2 linked regions of the Saccharomyces cerevisiae S288C genome follow. The protein of the gene in region 1 binds, or shares a complex with, the protein of each later gene. Each region holds a gene or a part of one and is shown on either strand. Other genes may lie near its edges.

What was found.
Region 2: COG3 (region 1) and COG1 share a complex: the UniProt entries of both Saccharomyces cerevisiae proteins name them as parts of the conserved oligomeric Golgi (COG or Sec34/Sec35) complex.

Annotation. Positions count from the first base shown.
Region 1 is NC_001137.3:482,926-489,938, reverse strand, and holds COG3 (Golgi transport complex subunit COG3), read right to left. Parts: upstream 5,152-7,013; coding exon 2,746-5,151; downstream 1-2,745. Other genes in the region: YER158C (uncharacterized protein), read left to right, coding at 1-1,082; MYG1 (Myg1p), read left to right, coding at 5,598-6,614. UniProt on the Saccharomyces cerevisiae protein: Acts as a component of the peripheral membrane COG complex that is involved in intra-Golgi protein trafficking.
Region 2 is NC_001139.9:76,794-82,110, reverse strand, and holds COG1 (Golgi transport complex subunit COG1), read left to right. Parts: upstream 1-1,745; coding exon 1,746-2,999; downstream 3,000-5,317. Other genes in the region: NIF3 (uncharacterized protein), read left to right, coding at 1-685; EDC1 (Edc1p), read left to right, coding at 925-1,452; SDT1 (nucleotidase), read left to right, coding at 3,254-4,096; VRG4 (GDP-mannose transporter), read right to left, coding at 4,204-5,217. UniProt on the Saccharomyces cerevisiae protein: Acts as essential component of the peripheral membrane COG complex that is involved in intra-Golgi protein trafficking.

The sequences.
Region 1 (7,013 bases):
TTCCCGACTCTCCTTCTAGTTCATCGTTGCCTTTGACCCAGACTGGAGGCCCATCTTCCGCAGATAACGATTCCATTGCCACTGGCACGAACAATCGTTCTCCTCAACAAACGAAAGCTGCTGATGCTAATCAGAAATCTGAATCCGAGTCTCCAAAGGCAATTAGATCAAATTCTAAAAAGATATCTCGTTTCTTCAGGAAAATCTGGTCGTCCAAGTCATCAAATTCTGCAGATTCCGTAGAAGAGAATAGCAAAACAAAGCAGAAAAGGAAAAATCCGGAGAGAGTTGTACCAGAACCGATAACGTCCCTTGACCAACCGGTTGAAATTATAAAACAGAGTTTTTCAACCGTTAACAATCACGAAACGGCTGTACCTTCAATTAAGGACTCTGGCATAGTACAAGAATTGACAGCACTCGGAGATAATAACAGGATACCAGTTCTTCCACCCCCTAGGTCACCAAACAGACCTACACTGTCTGATAAACGAACTACAAAGTTATACTACTGTAGTCAAGATTCGTCTAATGAAGATATTGCTCCAGAGGAAAAGAGCACCGTTTTCTTAAAGCGTTTGCAGGATGAATGGTCTACCGTGTATTTAAACAAATTGCCTTTGACTGCTTCTGTGCCATCTTCTCTCTCTACCACTACTGATGCTGCGAACTCTTCGTTCATAAACTCTTCAATATCATCGCCGGCTCCTTCTTCTTCGTCCTCGTCATCGTTGGTTTCCCGTGGACCAATGCAATCCATATCTTCTTCGCCAACACCTGCCCCTTCTTCAGGGTCATCGAAATCTAAAAATGCCGTCAAATCCTTACGCTTTGCGGATGAGATTTATGTAAACGATACGTGGTCCGCCGCGGACTATTGCAGGTGTGATAATACCTTTTTGAATAATTTCTTTAAAGGAAAGAGCCAAGACATTACCAATCCTTCTACTTTTGTCGGTAATAATCTCTCATCCACAAAAAATATATCCAATATTGAAATCAAAATGGAGGTGAATGAGTTCAAAAGAAAGGAAATGCGCGTTCACCAGGATAGCGCTAAGTATACACATTACTACTTATAACGGGTTCATCAAGCTTTTTTCCTTCTTGAGACTCTGTTGTATCTCTTTATATATTCTATTTTATTTTATATGCATCGAACTTTTTACGTAAGATAAATACTTACTACATTTTGGATAATTGTTTTAACAGGTTAATTTCTATAATCTATTTTTTATCTGCTCTTATAGCATTCAAATATTTGCAGCGGTAAAAAATTATGGTTAAGACCCGCGCGACTGTAAAAATAGCGCGTAAGATTTCCCTGAAGAGCGATGAGTTTTAACATTTAAAAGATATGTCTGAGATCAATCGCTTTTTTACCAGCTACCTAACTTTATAACCTTAACCGATAATTAGAATTTTTTACAGTGATTATCTAAGAGTGTTAATGAAGTTTTTATTGATGGATGCTTGCTTAACGCGGGGGCTCGAAAATTACTTAATCACATTTTTATCGCCTATGGACATACTGATAGGGAATATTTGAATTATATCATTTCGAATAATGTTCAGAATATAGTGCTGTGGTAATAATCTTAAGATGATAAATTTTAATTCACATAAAAAACTGTAATACCAATGTAGGTATTTACATCGTAATTTCTGGGGATCTCGTACAGGTTTACATGCCCCATTATACCAATAACAAAATGGGAGAGATTTAAAAATGGACTGTTCAACCAGTGGTGCAATGTAAGGTGAAGGGCTATTTGTAGAGAATGTGGATTTTGATGTAATTGTTGGGATTCCATTGTGATTAAGGCTATAATATTAGGTATGTAGATATACTAGAAGTTCTCCTCTAGGATTTAGGAATCCATAAAAGGGAATCTGCAATTCTACACAATTCTATAAATATTATTATCATCGTTTTATATGTTAATATTCATTGATCCTATTACATTATCAATCCTTGCGTTTCAGCTTCCACTAATTTAGATGACTATTTCTCATCATTTGCGTCATCTTCTAACACCGTATATGATAATATACTAGTAACGTAAATACTAGTTAGTAGATGATAGTTGATTTTTATTCCAACACTATTAATCATACAAATACTTTGAAAACTTCTTTAAATAATCTCATAAATCTTTACATTGAACTAGGATGATAAAAGTGAGCTTAACGTCAATAAATCCCACTGAACCAAAAATATGAGTAAGTAGTAGTACATTACGATACAGTTCGATTCACCTTTCTCCGGTATCTGTCACCTAGAAAACTTACGAACCGCAATGTTAAGGCAAATTCAAATCTAACAAATGAATTCCACTGTTGTTATGTTTGCATGCATCTAGGTGCGTTGTGGTCCACGAGATAACAACCTTAATGTCTCTTGGTTGATCACTACTTTGGCAGCGATCTTAATTTGTTTATATATTTTGACTTTATTGATTACTTGTTTAAATGAGTTGCTTGAATTGTTAACGAATTTACAATATTCGGAGCCCTAAAAAATTCATGAATTTAATCCGATATAGTGTAACGGCTATCACATCACGCTTTCACCGTGGAGACCGGGGTTCGACTCCCCGTATCGGAGTATTCGTTATATTTTTTCAATCGCTTACGATCAAAAGCTTTGAAAACATTTTTTTTACCGTGTAATGTAATTTTTATTTCGATATCAGATTTATGTATGCATGAAAATTATAGAAAAAGTTGAAATTACACATAAGTTTATTTCGTTATGGTATCAATATCACCATTTCTTAAAAGATCCGCCACCTCTTTGGCAAAAAAATCTGTGAAGACGTCCAAGTACATTACGTCTGCGACTTGATCCTTAGCAAACTTTCCATTTTCTGCCAATTCAGTTATAGTTTCATAATATTTGGAATATGATTGTGTAATTAACTCTTGCACAGCGTCTAATAAATTAGTAACAATCTCTTGATCATCGATATAGTTCAATATCTGTTCATATATTCTTGGTAATCTGGCCTTTATATTCTCTCTTAATTTTACGTTTTTGCTTAACAGATCTTCATCACTATTGATATCTAAAGTGTCATCAATAAGCTCCAAAGAAGTGCTTTCAGTAAAATCTTTAATGACGTTTCTCAATTCAGATATGAGTTCCGTACGGGCGTCCACCATATTGTTTACAACTTTTGGAACCAGCTCTCTTGCCAGGGTCAATATTGAAGATGACTTTGTCTTTTTCAAAACGTTTCTACCATTTTCTTTAAGTGATTTGAAAAACCCCTCAACACCAGAAAAATCCAGATAAGTTTCATTAACTGTATATTGAATATTAAAGTTCTGTATGGAATCACGTAACATCAACAAATTTTTTAGGTACGCTAATGAAATATCTAAGTTGTTAAAATCAGATTTTCCCGCTGAAGATTTGATAACCATATCATAGGCATTTCTCAAGGATACAATACAGTCGTGGACTACATGGTGAGCTAAATCATCAAATACCACAGAATTGATCATTTCATAAATTTTGGACAATAAAGCCAAAGTCTTTAACAAGGGCGGATAATATGTTTGCAACTGTGAAATTTTATCAGTAGATTCTTCTGAATCAATACTTTTATCGTCTGCATCATTAGGGGATATGGGCAATATGCTTCTATTCTTGAAAGAAGATAAATAAGATTCTAACAAGGGATCTGGATTGTCATCACTAGTAGTAGCATCTTCGTTACCCCCTTGTAAGCTGGTCTTCGATTTTCTCCTTCTATTTGAAATCATGAAAACGTCCCTAGTGGGCCTATAGCTCAAAATATTTTGTTGGACATATATTTGCACTCTTAAAATTAATCTAGCCTGCACTTTTTGGACAATCGGTTCGAATAGTTTATCATACTGAATGTCGGTAAACTGCTTCACGTATTCTTCTGAACCTTCTTCAAATTCATAATATGGAGCAAACAAAGTCACTGAGTCACACAAAGTACAAATATCTGTCTCTTTCAAAACCCTGACTCTAATGGAGTCATAAAGGGGTTCACATAACTGTAAGAACCACTGATTAATCTTGAAACGACATTCCTTTTCAGGGAAAAATTCTACGAAAAGTTTGTATTCGTCCGCGCATAACTGCTGAAAATAAACCTTACCGTCTTGAATGAATTTGACCAAGCCCTGGTCCTTATCTTTAACAACAATTTCATCAATGTGTGACCAAATGACCGGAGTTAGCAGTCTTAAACGTGTTTGGAAATAGTGGTTGAAACACTCGTAAAGAATGGAATTCAGTTCATCGTGATACTTGTTGTAGGCTTTTTCGTTGCTTCTCTTAACAATTTCCGAAACCTGAATTTTGAAAGTATCAGCTATGGTATAGAATTTACTGTACAAGAAGGCGTCTCTTGTAGTCGACGGCAACCCAGTTAACGAATTTTTGTTTTTGGTTTTATCCAAAATTTCTTGATTTGTTTGTTTCAACAGATTCGTTAAAAAGTGAGATATCAATTCACAGGCTCTGATCAAGCATTGCTTGAACTTGATTCTGTACGCTGCCGCATCCTTGAGGTCACTATTCTCATCCAAAAAACGTAAAGACTCGTCGATAGTCGCCAACATTGTCGTAAAGGAGCTCTTCTTAACAATAGCGGGAGAAGTGGCATGGTTCAAGCGACGCATTATAGGGTCTAAAACTTCAAAATAATGGAGAGCTTTAGGGATTGACTCAGTTAGATTGCTTAATTTAGACTGCTTTTCATAGATCGTCTTCGTTTCCTCAATGAAAGCTCCAGTATCCTGAGAGATTTTCCGAAATTTCTTGATGGAACTATCCAATTGATCGTTAACCTGGCGTGTTTGATCCAGAACAACTTTATACTCGTCTATCTTAATGTTTAACTGGTCCAAATAGGTAGTATAATACAAATACTTGTTTGTCTTTTTTACATCCGCAGAAGTCGTAGCTTCAGAACCATTAACCTCTGAACAACCTTCTGAGACATCAGTTCTTTGCAGACTGTCAGAATTTTCCACAGCCAAAGATAGCTTTTTTAGCTTATCAAAAAGGTACGAATCGTCCAGTAAACCCACTATGGTCTGAGATTCTGGTATAGTCGGATGAGACGCAATATCTCGAACCAATGAATTCTTTCTACTTCTCGCCATCTTTGGATGTGTCGATAATTCGTGCAATATTGGGTAAAACAATTCATGCTGGGAGTATTTATTGTGTGTCTATAAAGCCAAGACTTTACATAACAATGGACGCAACGACTGCCGTTATACAGGGTAACCTCAATTTGCGCCTCTATATTCTATATTAATACTACTTATGATCCATCCGCAGCTGATACTTAGAGTTACGAGGCAGAGCATCGAAAAATCTGAGCCCACCATTAAGTTGCAATATAAGTACGAATTTTCCTGCTCTTCTCTCGTCTTTGGATTACTGTATTCATTGATAAATCTCTATTATTTTTTTCAGTTTTTCACTTTCTTTTCGAGCGATGGGAACGGCAAATCACGAAAATTTTCTGTCAACGTAGAAAGTAATGATGTGTTAATACTATCGAAAAGCTGTGGAATTGAAGAGCCCAGCCCAAAAAGTCTGCATGAATAGCGTAAAAAGAGTAAAGCTAAATTCAAAAATGTCCAAACAAATATGCACGCATTCCGGATCTTTTCACGCGGACGAGTCGTTGGCGGTATACATGTTAAGGCTACTACCCGAATTTAAAGATGCTAAGTTGGTTAGATCAAGAAATCCCAAGGACTGGGAGGCTAGTGACATTCTAGTGGATGTAGGAGCTCAGTATGACGGCGTGAAATTTTTTGACCACCACCAGCGTGGATTTTTCGAAACTTTCAACGAGAAATACAAGACTAAGCTCTCAAGTGCTGGTCTGATCTTCAAACACTACGGTCGTGACATTATCAAAACAATTTTGAACAACAAGGTTAGCAGCTCTGATTTAGATCTGCTCTATGACAAGGTATACAAACAATTTGTCGAGGCACTGGATGCAAACGACAACGGTATTAGCAAGTACACGATTCCTAAGGATTCCAACTTGGAACCGAATTTCAGGGATAACGCCATCAGCATTCCCGGGATTATTTCAGGTATGAATCCTAACTGGAACGAAGACACTTCCGATGAGTCTTTTGACAGATGCTTTGCTCGCGCAAGTGAGTTTATCGGTGGGGTCTTTGTCACATTGGTAAGAGGCTACGGTCAATCGTGGTTGCCAGCCAAGGCCCTTGTGGCGCAAGCCATTGATGAAAGAATGGATGTTGATAAGAGTGGCAAAATCATTGTCTTGCCCCAATTCTGTCCATGGAAGGAGCATCTATACGAGCTGGAAAGAGAGAAGAACATTGAAAAGCAAATCGAGTTTGTTCTCTTCACAGACTCTTCTGGTGCCTGGAGGGTATCTACTGTACCAATCAACTCCACCTCCTTCCAGTTTAGGAGAGGTTTGCCGGAGCCATTAAGAGGCCTCAGAGACGAAGAGCTGAGCACCAAGAGCGGTGTGCCAGGATGTATCTTCATTCATGCAGCAGGTTTCATTGGAGGTGCCAAGTCCAAAGAGGCTGTATATGAGCTGGCTAAGATGTCTTTGGCCTAGTCGGGAGCGAGCGCTCAGTCAGGTCCCTTATCTATTTAATAATATTTAACAATTCCACTATTTATTCTGTATAGTAAGTAAATCTTTAATGCAAGCAAAAATCTTCCCGCCGCGAATCCTGAAACATATTCCCCTCGGTGAAACACGCTCTTGAAAATGACCTGAGAACACAAGATATCAGACGGCTCTTGTTGCACAAAAAACAAAAACAAAAGAAGCAAGCTACGTTGCAGCCACTGGTACTGTCTGCTAACTCAAACATTCTTTTTCATTTTTAATATACAGATTTCGTATTCTCCCGTTCCCGCTATACGCAATTTTCTTTCTTTTTTTTCCCTCTTTGGTTAGGAGACTGCAGATCAGTCCCATTTTTTCCAACAGAACAAACAAGCAAACGTT
Region 2 (5,317 bases), on another chromosome or scaffold:
CACGAAGTCAGTTGCTCAAGAAGCTGTGGATGCTAACTGCAACGTAATTGTTGCTTACCATCCTTTTATTTTCCCAAGCTGGAACAGATTAAGCCCACATACAAACCCACAACACGAGACAGCTATAAAGCTAATCCAGTACGGAATATCCGTATACTGCCCTCACACTGCCGTAGATGCCGCTCGTGGCGGTGTAAATGACTGGTTGGTTAGGGGTTTGAACAACGGAGAGAACGTCGCAAAGTCTTATGCCTTGGAAACTGTAAGTGGCGAAACTGACGACTTGATTGGCTACGGTAGATTCGTAGAATTCAATAAAGACATCTCTTTGGAGCAAATTGTCAAAAATGTCAAGCGTGTTTTACGGGTTCCCTATGTACAAGTAGCATCTCTTGCTGCTCCATCCGCATGGAATCAACTCAAAATCAAAAAAGTCGCTGTCTGTGCCGGGAGCGGTTCTGGCGTGTTTAAGCAACTAAAAGAGGACGTAGACCTTTACTATACGGGAGAAATGTCACATCATGAAGTACTGAAGTGGAAAGAAATGGGCAAGACCGTTATTGTTTGCAACCACTCAAATACTGAGCGTGGATTCCTTCAAGACGTTATGAAGGGCTTGTTGCAAGATGAGGGCCACGAAGTAGTCGTAAGCAAAATGGATTGCGATCCTTTGACTGTTGCATAGCTGCTAGTAATTATATGGCTATATAGGATATCACAAATACCATACGTACTACAGTTTTATCATCCGGCTGTTCGTGTAAAATGATGTTGTTGTATCGGATAGAGAAATACGGATAGAAAAGGTAAAAGTCTTCAAATAACAAGGACAATAACATACTCTGTATTGAAGACGAAGTACTCAGCAAAGCGTAACGTAATTACACTTAGCACACAAATATACTCACACAAATATTACAAGGCATGTCGACGGATACCATGTATTTCAACAGCTCCAGGCTGTTGCCATCGGCTGGCAGGAACAAGACAAATAATCTAATCAAACAAAAAACTAGAAATAATCGTGCGAGGGGAAATGCTGCTAAGAACGCCAATAATAACAACTATATCACAGATATACCACCTCCTCAAACTCTTCCTAACGGTCAGAAACCTAACTTCGGCCATTCTTCCAACAAGAAACCATCATTTAATCAAAAGAAGCACTCTCCACCTTCTTCCCCTTCCTCTACAACTACTTTAGGTAAAAAAAACAGACAGAATAATAAAGAAACGCCACGACAGAACAACAAAGATGATACTCGTTTACTGAGTCAGAACCTAAAGAATCTGCTTCTGAACCAGAAACAATCCCCGCATGGCTCTCAAGGGATAATACCAATGGGTTGTAATGGCAGTGCCAAAAAACTCAGTCACTCTTATGCAGGCTCCACTTTCGCCACTAATGGTCCAAGGGAGGCTAAAAACTTGCCCAAACCAAGTTTTTTATAATCACCCTTTAGAGAGACATTTTTGATTTTTTTTTTTTTTTTTTTTTTTTTTTTTTTAGAATAATGCATATTTTTATTTGATATATACCTATGTACCAATTATACGAATGCTTATGTCTGTTTTGGATCTGGTCATCCAAAGCAATTTCTCAGATGACAATTTTTTTTTCCTATTTTCTGTTACAGTTCATCATTATGCTGAAGAAAAATGAAACATGGCGGTGAATAATAAATAACACATTCGTACAACAAATCTTGTGGTAGAAAACCTAAAAAAAACCAATACGATAGAAAATGGATGAAGTCTTACCATTGTTTCGCGATTCTCATATTCCACAGATTAAAGATTATCAATTGGAGTTACAGAACGATTTGACTAAAACCAATGAGGCCTTCCAAAAGAATTTGCTAAAGAACTATAACAAGATCTTAAGCTTGACCGATTCTGTTAATGACTTGTCGCTCAATTTGAAAAATGTTGATCAAGATTTTAAATCCCTGTGTTTCAATGATGAAAAATTTCAGTTGAATAAGTTAACTCCACTACCATACCAAACCACTACCCATATATCACCACCTCGTGACGAAGAAAAAGTCAGCATACCATCGCAAAACATTTTAGTAATTTCAAATTGGACCATCTCCATCAACAACTTCTGTAATCGTATAGTTACTTCCACTACTCCGTCGCGGATATTCGACGAGCTACTGTTGAATTTCCACGAATTATCTTTGATACCAGTTCCTTCCAAATTTGAAGCGCTTGTCAAGGACAAATGTTGTCGACTACAGAAGTTCTTGGTGGACTCTATGAAGACATTAAACTTAACTTTACTACAGTGGGTAAAACTATACAATTTACTAAACACGGAGTTTTCCTCGAAGTGGGACGATGATTTACTTTCTATATTCAATGAATCCCTATTCGAGACACTATTTAACGATAACGTTCAAGCGTTACTGATATCAAGTGCCAACAGCAAAGATCATCAATATCACTCCAATCAGCAATATAAGGACGCGATTGTTGTCGATTTTGTGAATTCGTCCACCTTTAGAGACCATCTCATTCGGAGAACCGTGAAAGAAATAAACACACATTTGGATACACTCTCTACTTTGAGAGCCAAGCTTAAGGAGCCTGAAACTCTTCATAAATTAGATATCTTCCATGATAATGATACGAACCTCAATGATGGCACTGTATCTCCACTTGATGATGATGCATTGAAACAATATATTGATACAGCGGTATTCTATTCAAAAGGTTTAACCAATGATACCACGTTGCAAATTTATCAAACGGTGCAGCCTACGATTGAAATCCTACAAAACTTAGAATTGTATAAATGCCCTCAAGAGACACTGACAGATTTGAGAAATAAATTGATTACTCAATTGCAAGAGTTTAAGACTCAGATCTCATCCCGCTTACCTTCACCACTGGAAAACTCAACGAGTGTTGTGGATGATTTTATAACTTCGTACAACAATCACAATCTCTTGCAATTAGTCATCGATCAAATTACTCAATTAAGGCAACAGTAATATAATAGCACGAGGGAGGGTACCCGCCTCGCAAACTTATTGATAATGATAATGGTATGGGCGTTGATATATACATATATATATATATATATATATATATATATATATACATAATATATATATGTTTATCTGTGTGTATCTATGTGGACTTCAATAAGTGATCGCCTTCTTGATATCATATTACTCCCCCATTTCACCTGAATTAATTTCGGAATACATGAGTAAGCTCTTGGACCGAATCATTACTAGGCTTCATGACTGTTGAATATACTGCATCCGATTTGGCAACCTATCAGAATGAGGTGAACGAACAAATTGCCAAGAATAAAGCACATCTTGAATCATTGACTCATCCAGGTTCGAAAGTGACATTTCCGATCGATCAAGATATTTCTGCTACACCTCAAAACCCGAACTTAAAAGTTTTCTTTTTTGATATCGACAACTGTCTCTATAAATCATCCACGAGAATTCACGATCTTATGCAACAATCTATACTGAGGTTCTTTCAAACACACTTGAAACTATCACCTGAAGATGCTCACGTTTTGAATAACTCTTACTACAAAGAGTATGGACTTGCCATAAGGGGACTTGTAATGTTCCACAAAGTGAACGCACTGGAATATAACCGGCTTGTGGATGATTCCTTACCACTACAAGATATCTTGAAACCTGATATACCATTAAGGAATATGCTGTTGAGATTGAGACAATCGGGAAAGATTGATAAATTGTGGCTTTTCACCAACGCTTATAAAAACCACGCAATACGTTGCCTGAGATTGTTGGGTATAGCGGATTTATTTGATGGATTGACATATTGTGACTACTCTAGGACAGATACGCTGGTCTGCAAACCACATGTTAAAGCATTTGAAAAAGCCATGAAGGAAAGCGGGTTGGCAAGATACGAGAATGCTTATTTTATAGATGACAGTGGGAAAAACATCGAGACAGGTATCAAATTGGGCATGAAAACATGTATTCATTTAGTTGAGAATGAAGTAAATGAAATTTTGGGGCAAACACCAGAAGGCGCTATTGTCATTAGTGATATATTGGAGTTACCACACGTTGTGTCCGACCTGTTCTAAGGTATATCAATTTTAAGTATAATTGTATATAAATCTACTTGCATTAGATGCCTCTATAAAATAAAATAAACCAAAAAAAAAAAATAAATTGCACCCCCCGTAAGTTCTCATTTACGTAAAGGTTGGGCTTGTTGCTTCTTTTGTTTGGCAACAGCATAAATAATACCTGATAGGAAACCAATAAAAATGGAGAGAATAGATAAGAAGTTTCTTGGAGCATCAAAGAAAATCAAACCAGACAAGGCAATTGGCAGCTTGTTCAAAGCCCCTACCATCGAATATGTAGTAGACGAAGTAACACGAACACACCAACCGGAACAGTAAGAAATACCGACGGATGCAACACCACTGATGATCATAGCAGTTAGCGAATCGTTAGAAAAGTTATTGGTCAAATTAACTGAAGACCAATCTTCCACACAGAAAGAAAACAGCAATAGAATAGGTAGAGCCAAAACATTGTTGTAAAACATAGTGTCGAAATCCTTGAAGTTAGTTAACTTAATTCTCTTTCTCATTATAAGAACGAATAATGCAGAAGTGATACAGTTGGTGAACATCCAGAAATAACCTGGGTTAAAGGAGGCAACAGCACCGGCTGCTCCTTCAGCCAATGAAGCAGCCTTGGCAGCCACAGCTTGCTGGTCACCCCAAGTTGCAACGACAGAAGAAAGGACCATCAACAAAAATGATGACAATTCCATGGAGGTGACAGAGCCACCAAAAAAGAGAACCTCACCATAAGCAATCAAGATAATAGTCAAATTCTTGAAAATGGTGTAAATTGGAACAGCCAAGTATTGTAAAGCCTTCGAAGAGGTGTAGATCATCAAGACCAGTAAAAAGGAAATAGGGAACCAGTTCTTGGCGTCTGTTTTGTTTAATGAACGGAACTTCGCATAGCCCAGTATACGTAGGATAATCAAGGTTATAGTACAAACCAAAGATTGCACGAAAAGCATGACAAAGTTCATGTTGAAATCCTTCAAATTGACGACGAACTTGTTAGTCACCGTCATTAAAATAGAGGAACCACAGTAGGATAAAATAGAGATCGGACCGGAATTGGCAACTGAAGCCCAAGGGTTATGGCCTGCATGACCTGTTTTCAATTCAGACATTCGGGCGAAAGATACTGTGTGGTTAGTGTGTTTGTTTTCTTAGGCTCTTTTGGTAATTAAGAGGATGTCAACAATTAATCGGCAACAAGAAATAGGCTTG